Linked DNA regions of Sus scrofa. The protein of the gene in region 1 interacts with the protein of each later gene in a pairwise test. Links are inferred from orthologs where the notes say so. Each region holds a gene or a part of one and is shown in the gene's direction. Other genes may lie near its edges.

Evidence for each region. The genes of interacting proteins can lie anywhere in the genome.
Region 2: the proteins of ZC3H10 (region 1) and NFYA interact in binary tests that used the Homo sapiens proteins (3 or more experiments, as listed by UniProt). The two-hybrid records come from large-scale screens. The link is inferred for Sus scrofa from reciprocal best matches to the Homo sapiens genes ZC3H10 and NFYA.

What each region holds. Positions count from the first base shown.
Region 1 is NC_010447.5:21,504,719-21,510,079, forward strand, and holds the start of ZC3H10 (zinc finger CCCH domain-containing protein 10), read left to right. Parts: upstream 1-1,791; 5' UTR 1,792-1,898; intron 1,899-2,011; 5' UTR 2,012-2,036; intron 2,037-2,429; 5' UTR 2,430-2,452; intron 2,453-2,721; 5' UTR 2,722-3,569; intron 3,570-4,350; 5' UTR 4,351-4,414; intron 4,415-5,361. UniProt on the Homo sapiens protein: Specific regulator of miRNA biogenesis. Binds, via the C3H1-type zinc finger domains, to the binding motif 5'-GCAGCGC-3' on microRNA pri-MIR143 and negatively regulates the processing to mature microRNA.
Region 2 is NC_010449.5:36,396,053-36,400,214, forward strand, and holds part of NFYA (nuclear transcription factor Y subunit alpha), read left to right. Parts: intron 1-930; coding exon 931-1,077; intron 1,078-4,162. UniProt on the Homo sapiens protein: Component of the sequence-specific heterotrimeric transcription factor (NF-Y) which specifically recognizes a 5'-CCAAT-3' box motif found in the promoters of its target genes.

The sequences.
Region 1 (5,361 bases):
TTTTGTTTGTTTGTCTTGTTTTTCTTCCCATTTTTGGCTGCCCCAGGGCATGCAGAGTTCCTGGGCCAGGGATCAGATCCAAGCTGCACTATAGACCTAAGACCCAAGCCACAGCCGCTGTAACTCGGGATCCTTTATCCCTTGTGCTGGGCCAGGGCTTGAACCTGCATCCCAGCTCTCCCAAGACGCCACCAATCCCACTGTGCCACAGAGGAAACTTTTTTTTTTTTTTAATGCATGCACCAGCGGCATATATAAATTCCTGGGCCAGGGATTGATTCCAAGCCACAGCTGCAGCAATTCTGGATCCTTTAATCCTCACCCAGGGATGGAACCTGGATCTTTGCAGCAACCTGATCTGCTGTTGCTTTTTTTTTTTTTTTTTTGTCTTTTTGCCACTTCTTGGGCGGCTCCTGCAGCATACGGAGGTTCCAAGGCTAGGGGTCTAATCGGAGCTGTAGCTGCCAGCCTACGCCAGAGCCACAGCAACGCAGGATCCGAGCTGCGTCTGCGACCTACACCACAGCTCACAGCAACGCCGGATCGTTAACCCACTGAGCAAGGGCAGGGACCGAACCCGCAACCTCATGGTTCCTACTCGGATTCGTTAACCACTGCGCCACGACAGGAACTCCCGCTGTTGGATTCTTAACCCACTGCACTGGGGCAGGAACTCTTAGGGTTTTTATTTTTGTTTTCAAAAACTTATTCCATTCTAGGAGCTCCCCTGGTGGTGCAGTGGGTTAAGGATCTGGCGTTGTCACTGCAGTGGCTCAGGTCGCTGCTGTGGCCTGCCTGGCCTAGGAACTTCAACTTTTGCATGCAGTGGGCGGGGCCAAAAAACCAAAAACTTACATTCTGATGGAGATAATACTAAAACCACCTAAGCACTTGGAACAAGGGTCCTAAATTTAGATATTTTTTTTTCCAGAGCTAAAAAGGGGAAAGGTTATAAAAGGAAACCACTAAAAAAAAAGGATTATAATAAGCCTTTACTGTATTTTACAGTGAATAAGGCGAAGTCTGCATGATTAAAGGTTCCCTTTCATCCTAACTCAAGTTTCCTGTAACCAAATCTTTGGGAGTCTTTTTCTGGGTGCTTCTGACCCAATCATACGAGGAGACTGGCAAGTTATCTTACCATCAAATACCATTCTTGTCCTAAAGAAATGTCTAGCCGATCCTAGCTAGCTTCCCTTCTGTTCTTTGATTTGATCTTCACGTTGTGTAGAGGGAGAATCACTTAAGTATATTCTAAGCCAGATGCTTTGTGGCCAGGAATCTAGTGACATTCTGCCTCAGGCGTTGGAGTTGGCTAGAAAAAGAGTTGATCTATCTTAAATAGTGCCAAAGGTCTCTGTAGTATGACAAGCTTTCTCGACTCCCCACTTTACATCCTTCCACGTTCTGGAATCTTAGAACCTTTGGAAGTTCCGAAATAGAATCTCCCTGCAGCAACTTAGGTTCAGAACATAAGGCAAACCAGTTTTTGTAAACTCTGCATCTATCCACAGTAAAATGGAGGGTGTCGCCGGGAAACTGCAACTCCCATGAAGCAATGAGAGGGAAGACGGAAGTCACTAACCTACGCTTTTCTGCACTTCTGGGTCTCTTACTGGAAATACATGCTCATATTTAAATAATATAGTATCCTTATAATAAAACCTGGGGAAGGGAAATTTTGTAACTCACACTCAAAATAGTCTATTTTCCAAGAGAACTGTCCCAACTCAAACACTTACCACGAACCCAAAGGGCCAAAAGCTATTGTTATTACCCTCCCGCAGCCCCGCCCCTGGGGGCAGGGCGAGACCACGGAAGTGACGACACCGAGCATTGCATTAAATATCCGTAGGCGGGCCCCTAGCGCTCTCTCGGCCTTAGCGCCATCTTCTGAGGTGAGTCTCGGTTTGGGCTCTCTCCGGTTCCGAGTACAATCCGTAAACATCTGATCTCTGCGATTGCCATCATTACAGCGAACTAACTGTAGACTTTTTTTCTTTACCCGTAGAAACCTCCGCGCCATGAGAGCGAAGGTAAGCAGTCCCCGTTAGTGAGCTGAGGCTCTAAGAATTGGCAGTTGCAGGGGAGACCCAGGCAAGGGAAGTCCGCCATCGTTCTCGGATCGCTAGGTTCTCAAGGGTGCCCAAGAGCTGGTGGGACAGGGAGGATAGTTTGGGGAGAAGCAGAAGCTGGGAGTTAAGTGGGGGTGGAGAGCGGGAATAGGATAGCGCATGCGGGATTGGGGTTTTACAGCGGGGATCCGGGTGGGAGTCCAAGTTGTTGATGTGATTACTGCGACTAAGTCCTCCTAAGTGGTTAAACCTGTCTGGTTAAAAATTACACTATTTATATTCCTCCCTAAACTCGTTGCTACAACTAATGATATCTCGTTTTATTCTCTGCTTCTGGTTGTGATCGGTTGACAGTGGAGGAAGAAGCGAATGCGCAGGTATGCTGAGACTGCAAGTACAGGGTGGGGGAACTGGAGCACACCTTGGGCGAAGCTTGGGAGGAACATTTGGTTTAGAAATCTAAACAGCTTAAGATGAAAAACATGAGCATTGACTTGGCAAAACCAGGGATTGGACACAAGAGGATAGAACCGTAGTGTTCGTTGATTTTTTTTACCCACCCCTTGTATGGTATGCACATTTTAGATGGGAGGGAAAGAAGATTGGGTTTGTGGGCAGGAGGTGCATTCTCGTGTCTGGTTTTCAGGCTGAAGCGCAAAAGAAGAAAGATGAGGCAGAGGTCCAAGTAAACTTGTACACCGTGGAAGCCACAGGAGCAGAAACGAAATCCCAGAGGCCAGGGACGTTGGTACAATTTGTTGGACTGCATGCCTTCTGTCTAGAACTTGTCTCAATGGATCTATAACAACTTTTCGCCGTTCTGATCGCCTGGACCACTCTGAGACCCACCTTGCTCATATCAAAATGGTCCCTTTTGGTTTTTTGCCCTGGACCTGTGACTTTCTGGACTAGTTCTGTTCTCAGTTGTGGCTGAATGTAACACGTGTACAATAAATTATCTGCTGTTTTAGCTGAAGAAAAAAAGTCATCTTGTCTGTTGATGTGGTTTTTATGGTTCATTGGCTGGGGTGTTCTGTATGAGTACTCGCTTTAGAGAATATCTACACTGAGTCGGGGGTGCGGGCCCCGCCCCTGGCCGACTGGTTCTGGACCCTGGGAGTTGCTGGAGTGTTGGGTGGCTCTTATTTCCTGGAAAGGGCGTTACACACGTCAGGGACCGCTTTCAAGTTGATTTCGCCGGCGTGTGGGCAAACAGTTCCGCTCATCGTCCGAAAGGGCTACATTTGCTACGTCCCGCGCTTGGGGCTCTTTGCTGTGCTGTTGGGTCCGGTTGCCATGGTGACACGCAAAGCCTGCTGGGAACTTCCTGCGGCTAATCGCGCAAGTGCTTCGTGAGCCATAGAGTATAGTTCCGGGTCTGGCGGCTAGAGCGTCATTTCTTCCGCAGGAAGCGGAAGGGCGATAGGGTAGGCGGCTCTTTGTCGAAGCTAGAGGACCGGCAGGCGGCAGCAGCAACTACGGCGGCGGCGGCAGGTGAGGGAGGCGGGAGACTTAGGTGGAGGCCGCGCCCGGAGGGGAGGAGTCGGGGCCGGCCCAGCGGCTGGGCTCGGCCGGGCTACACAAGGCCCCCCAGGACTGAGTTTCCTCTGCCTCACGTCCTAGGGCTGAACCCCTTTTCTGACTGACCCCGCTTTGCGAGCAAACGCCAGCTCCGTGACGTCACAGCCCTGCCCATCCCCTCAGCCTCATGTCACCTGGAGTCCCCCTCCCCGCTTCACTTCGTGCTCCTCTAGTGTCCTGTTCACCTGGTCCCCGGCTGAGCTCTGGCGGTACTGCACAGGAACCTGCCAGACTAGAAGACTTGCTTTGGGAAACTCCTAGGACTTTTCGCAAACTCTGGGGTGTTTCGAAGCGTCATAATCACCGCCCCCAAGTCTAATCTGCCATCCCACTGCGCTGTCAGTCGCTGCCCTTGCACGGCTCCCTATTCGGAGTTCTTAACGCCAACCCTAGACCAGGCTACGATCCACGCATCCTCCTTCATCTTGGGGCAGGACGCCCCTCACCCTTTGTTCACTCAGGACTGGTTTTTTTCCAACTCATCCTCCTAGGCTGTCCAAATTTGTTCTGTTCCTTATTATACTCTTCTTACTGATAGCTTCTGCCTTTGACAGGTGAAGTTCAATTTGTACCCTAAGGAAATCTTAGTTCCCAGAGCTCTTGCCATTTGATTAGACTTTATTCTTGTAACCACCCCATAGTCCTCTGTTCTAATCCCTTCTCACACCCAAGTCTCTGTTTTTCTCCTGTTCAGAACCCAGCAGTGATGTGGAGGTGGAGACCCACAGGAGCCCCGGACTTCACCTGAGCTACCTCAGGTATCTAACAATCCTGGGAGAGTTGGGTGGGCAAGAGTATGGTATCTGATTATCTGCTTCTGGTGGGACTTGCAACATGGATCAGGCTTGGATAGGTGCCATTTATTTTTCCCCAGGTCATTTCCTTTTTAGTAGAACTTTGTATCTTCTCTTTTCTCAACCCTTTTTCCTTGGTTATTTTTATCATTCTGGGACTGTCTCTGTTTGGAGGAAGAGGAGCCTTCTTGTACAGATTCTCTTGCAACTCTGGTCCTTGATAGCATGAGTTCATTTTAGGGTTCATTTTGCCTTTAAGTTAAAATCAAGGTAAAGGACTGAGTGGTTAGGGGCCATCAAGGGCTAAAAAAATTGGAAAGATTCCCCTGCACGCTAGAGGACACGATATGAAGTTCTCCCATTTGAACAGCAGGGGGAGCCTTAACACTGCCTAGGAAAGGCTTAGGAGGTCAGACACGTGGTAGCAGGGACTCCTAGCCGTGTTGGGGGTGGGGGGAAGGGAGGGCTAGAACCGGGGCAGTGGACTGACATTCCTGAGCTCTCTTGGGAAAGAGGAGACTTGAAAAGCTTTTATGGAGTCTATAAATAAAGAGGATCTTTATAGGGTGAGAATGGTGAGGTTTGATGTCAGTGGGATCTTCCCATGGAGGGGTATAGAATGGGGAAAGATACTTGTTCCTATGAAATTAACTCCTTCCTATTGCCTTGATGCTGCCATACATGGTTTTGTCCTTTTGGGGTCTCTAAGTGGAGATTCCAGCTAGAACTCTAGCCCCTGAAATGGAGGGGTGGGGGCTGACCACCACAGAGTTGAGAATGGTGGTGATCTGGAAGAGAATACCACAGTGTGACAGGTTTAGGGACTGCCCTCAAGCCAGTGATACCCGTCCCTTTACTCAGGGTTTCCTGGGGTCTAGAGATCTTAACACTTTAGAGCCCTCACCACGGAA
Region 2 (4,162 bases), on another chromosome or scaffold:
TGAAAATGAAAGTTTTGGTCTTTTAGCTATTCTATTGAACATTCCAGTTCACTTCTAAAGTGGCTTGGTTTTTTGCTTTCAGAATGCATTCAGTCAGCTAGGTATTTTTACATTGGAACGCAAGATGTTCCAGAGCGTTTACAGTTCCCTGGCTTCTAGAGCAGCCCATTTACTTATTGGCACTTGAAAGTTGGGAGTTTTTTGGTGCATTGCAATGCTCTGTATAATTTTCGTATTTGTTGCAGCTAAAATAACTATGCAGACATTGCAAGGTTCGGTGTGAGAAATTCCACCACAGATACTGCAAACTAACCAACGATATTTCTAGTCATTTTTACCGGTGAGCTTCTTAACGACAGGACTAGAATTTTCAGTGAGGTAAAGAAGGTAAGATAGGTGTTTCATTTATGCTTGAGAGACGGTAGGGAGGAAAGGTATTCTATACAGGCTTCCACAGCTGCTTGCATACCTAACCTGGAGTGGTTTGGTTTACTCCTTCCAGATTATTTAGAATTTGCACTCAACCACCATCCCTACCATCAGCCCTCCCTCTCCAGCCTTTACTAGAGACTATCCTGGATCTTGATCTAAAAAGGGAAATAGCCTTGATGTTTTGATGAAATACTTCTCGTGGGTATAGCCTGTATTTGGGGATAAATGCATTATATCTATTGAGGCCCCTCGAAGACTCCGCTTATCCTCTGTTATATCTGATCTTAAAGTATTCGGCTTGGCATTTCGTCAAAGATTATTTTTGAAGAAGACAATTTGTGGGTGAAGACTTGAGACTTATTTTCTTAGTGTCTCTACTACCTTTTCCCCCCCCCAGCAAGGCAGCAGGTAGTTGCAGTGATTGTCTTTTGAAAAAAAAAAAACAAAAAACCATTTTGCGTCTTGTTATTTCATTGTTCTTATTTAATTTTATTCTAGGTCCAGGGGCAGCCATTAATGGTACAGGTCAGTGGAGGTCAGTTAATAACATCAACTGGCCAACCCATCATGGTCCAGGCTGTTCCTGGTGGACAAGGTCAAACCATCATGCAAGTACCTGTGTCTGGGACACAGGGTTTGCAACAGGTGAGTGGTATTAAAATTATTTAGACTATCAGGATAGAGGTTTTAAGAAATAGATTGTTGCAAACTGAAAATTGCTATTTCATTTAATTTCTTCCTACCCTCTGTTCACATTTAGCCAATTTCCTGCCTTTGTAGTGTTGGTGATATAAAGCAGAGGTATGTGGAAATTAGACGTCTCTGGTAAGAACTAGAATGTTAGACTTGATATTGAGTTAGTGTAAAGATTGTAAAAAGAATCTATTTTAATAAAGGTAGTTAATTGGTGTGACCTTTGTTGGCACTTCTGGGCACTAGGGCAAGGAATTTACAGGCTGCCGTGGAGACTTGTTTTCTGTAAAAAATGTGATCCTTTTCATTTCCTTCCATGTAATTTACAACTGGAGTTATCTAGCAGGTGATGGGGAAAAAGTGGGGGGTTTTTTTGGTTTTTTTTTTTAGTACAAACCTGCCATACATACGTCAAGTTATACATAGAGCAAAATTTATAACCTTAAATATTTTGAAAGGACTGAAAACGAATGGTTATTTATCTTAGGAAGCTAGGGAAAGAACAAAATTAAATTAATAAAAATAAAATTAACGAAGTAGAAATTAAGTCTTACGTATTTCCTTTTAGTTTTATGCATGCCTTTTGGGCATAGGGATTTCTTTTGTTGTTTTATTTATGTATGTTTTCCTTTCATAGGGAAGGTTACTATAAATGTATTTGAATTTTATAGCTTTACCTTTTTTTTTCAGTTAATTTGAATTTTAGGGTAATTTCTTTGGAGTAGAGGAATTGGTCGGGCAAAGAACAAGGTCATTTTTAAGGCTATTGGTATATTCTTACCAAGATAGAGTTGTAGTTAGGATTAAAAATAGTTTCCACATTCCTTCATGCATAAATGTATGAGCCTTTAAATATATGTCTCATGTGTGCTTGCCTCAGTTTCACACTGCTGTTTCATTTCTGTCCTTTCTCTCATTGCCTCCTCTGCAAGCCCCCCACCCCCCTGCTGTGCCCTCTCTGTCCAATAGAAACAGTGTGGTAATAGCACTAGGAACACTGTACAGGTGCAGTAATCTGACTTTTATTCCCAGGTCTGCCATTAAACAGACTTTCTGATCTTGGCCAAGTCATTTGATTGTCAGTTTTCTCATTCAAAAACGCAGTTTACATCAGGTGATTTCTGCAGTTCATTCCCACTCTGAAGTCTATGATTTTTATGGGAGTTTTCTTGGCCTTTAAGAGACATTGAAAGGTTTATTTTATTCCCCTCCCTCCAAATAGGACTGTAACTAATCAAACCATCTTGGAAAAAAATATTTTCTGCTCATTATATAATGATACAGCTTTAGGAAAGATTCCATAGCTTCTCTTAGAATGCTTAAAATTTCAGCTCATTTTTTTAGAGGTTACTTTAGTATTTGTTGAATAACCATGGCTTTTAGAAGAGTACTTAACCTTTTTTGGTTGCATCTTCTGTTTTAGAATTCCAGTGAAACTTAACGCTCTTCTTGGCTTAAGATCCCTGGCTTGATATAAACAATGGAATTAAAGTAGAGAGCCAAGAATGTAGGTGAACTAAAGTAGATGCAAGATATCGCAAATTAGTTTATCAAAAATAGTGCAGGAGTTCCCTTGTGGCTGAGCAGGTTAAGGACCCAGGATTGTCACTGCAGTGGCTCCAGTTACTGCTGTGGTGCGGGTCACTCCTTGGCCTGGGAATTTCCACATGCCTTGGGGAAAAAAATGTTATGAAAGTAAAATTGCTCTCTACTTCATACCATATCAAAAATACTTGCTAGATAGCTTACAGATCTAAATGTAAAAAAGCATAGTTGGAAACTAGTCTTTTATAGGAATGTTTACTTTACATTGTGGGATAGAGAAGGATTTCTTAAAAAAAAATAATTGATTTGACTATAAAATAAAAACTTGTATATGTCAAAATGTATCAAAAGGCAGAAGACAAAAAGCTTTTTTGTTTTTTTGTGGGAGTCCCAGAAAGAGAGAAAGAAAGGGCAGAGATAATATTTGAGGAAATAATGGTTGAAAACTTCCCAAATGTGATTAAAGACATGAATTACAGGAAGTTCCCATTGTGGCTCAGCAGTAATGAACCTGACTAGTATCCATGAGAATGCAGGTTTGATCCCTGGCCTCGCTCAGTGGGCTAAGTAAAGATCTAGTGTTGCTGTGAGCTGTGGTTAGGTTGTAGACGCAGCTCCAGATCCAGCATGGCTGTGGCTGTGGCGTAGGCCAGCAGCTGCAGCTCTGATTCAACCCCTAGCCTGGGAACTGCCATATGCTGCATGCTAGGCCCTAAAAAGGAAAAAAAAAAAAAAAAAAAAAAAAAGACATGAATAGCAAAAGGATACAATATGTTACTTCTTATATTAAGTTTATAAATATAAAATAAAACCATATAGTTTTATGCATATACATGTGTAAATTATGCTCTATAAGAATGATCACCAGTTTTGTACTATAATGATAACTTTGATGGAAAGGGAAAGTTAAAAGAAATTAAGTAAATATAGTAGAATGTTAATTCGTTAAACCTGAGTATTGACTGCAGGGCGTCTAATATGACAGTCTCGACTTTTCTGTATGTTTAAGGATTTTTATAGAGTCCCAGTTGGAAAACTCAGAAATATTTTTCCAATATTTTATTATAGAAAATTTCAAACAGGCAAAAGCAAAGAGAATGGTGTAGTGAGTCATCATCCAGTCTAAGACACAAATTAGTGTTATATTTAAATAAATATTTCATCTGTCTTCTCCTACTCTCTCAAGGATTATTTTGAATATATATAATATGATTTCATTTATTAAAAAATACTTTAAAAATAAAAAGTACTTTTTCAAAAAAAAATTTAAGAATGCTATTAAAAATACTCTTTCAAGGATTATTTTGAATGTATATAATACCATTTCATCTATAAAAAAATACTTTTTCATCTATCAAAAAAAGGGTGTATTTTTAAATGAACATGCTTTTAGAAACATATAACCATACCTGCACCATCATCCTTCTAAAAGCAGACATTGACTCATCTATATCCAGTATCCACACAGTGGTCAAAATTCCCCCATCATGTC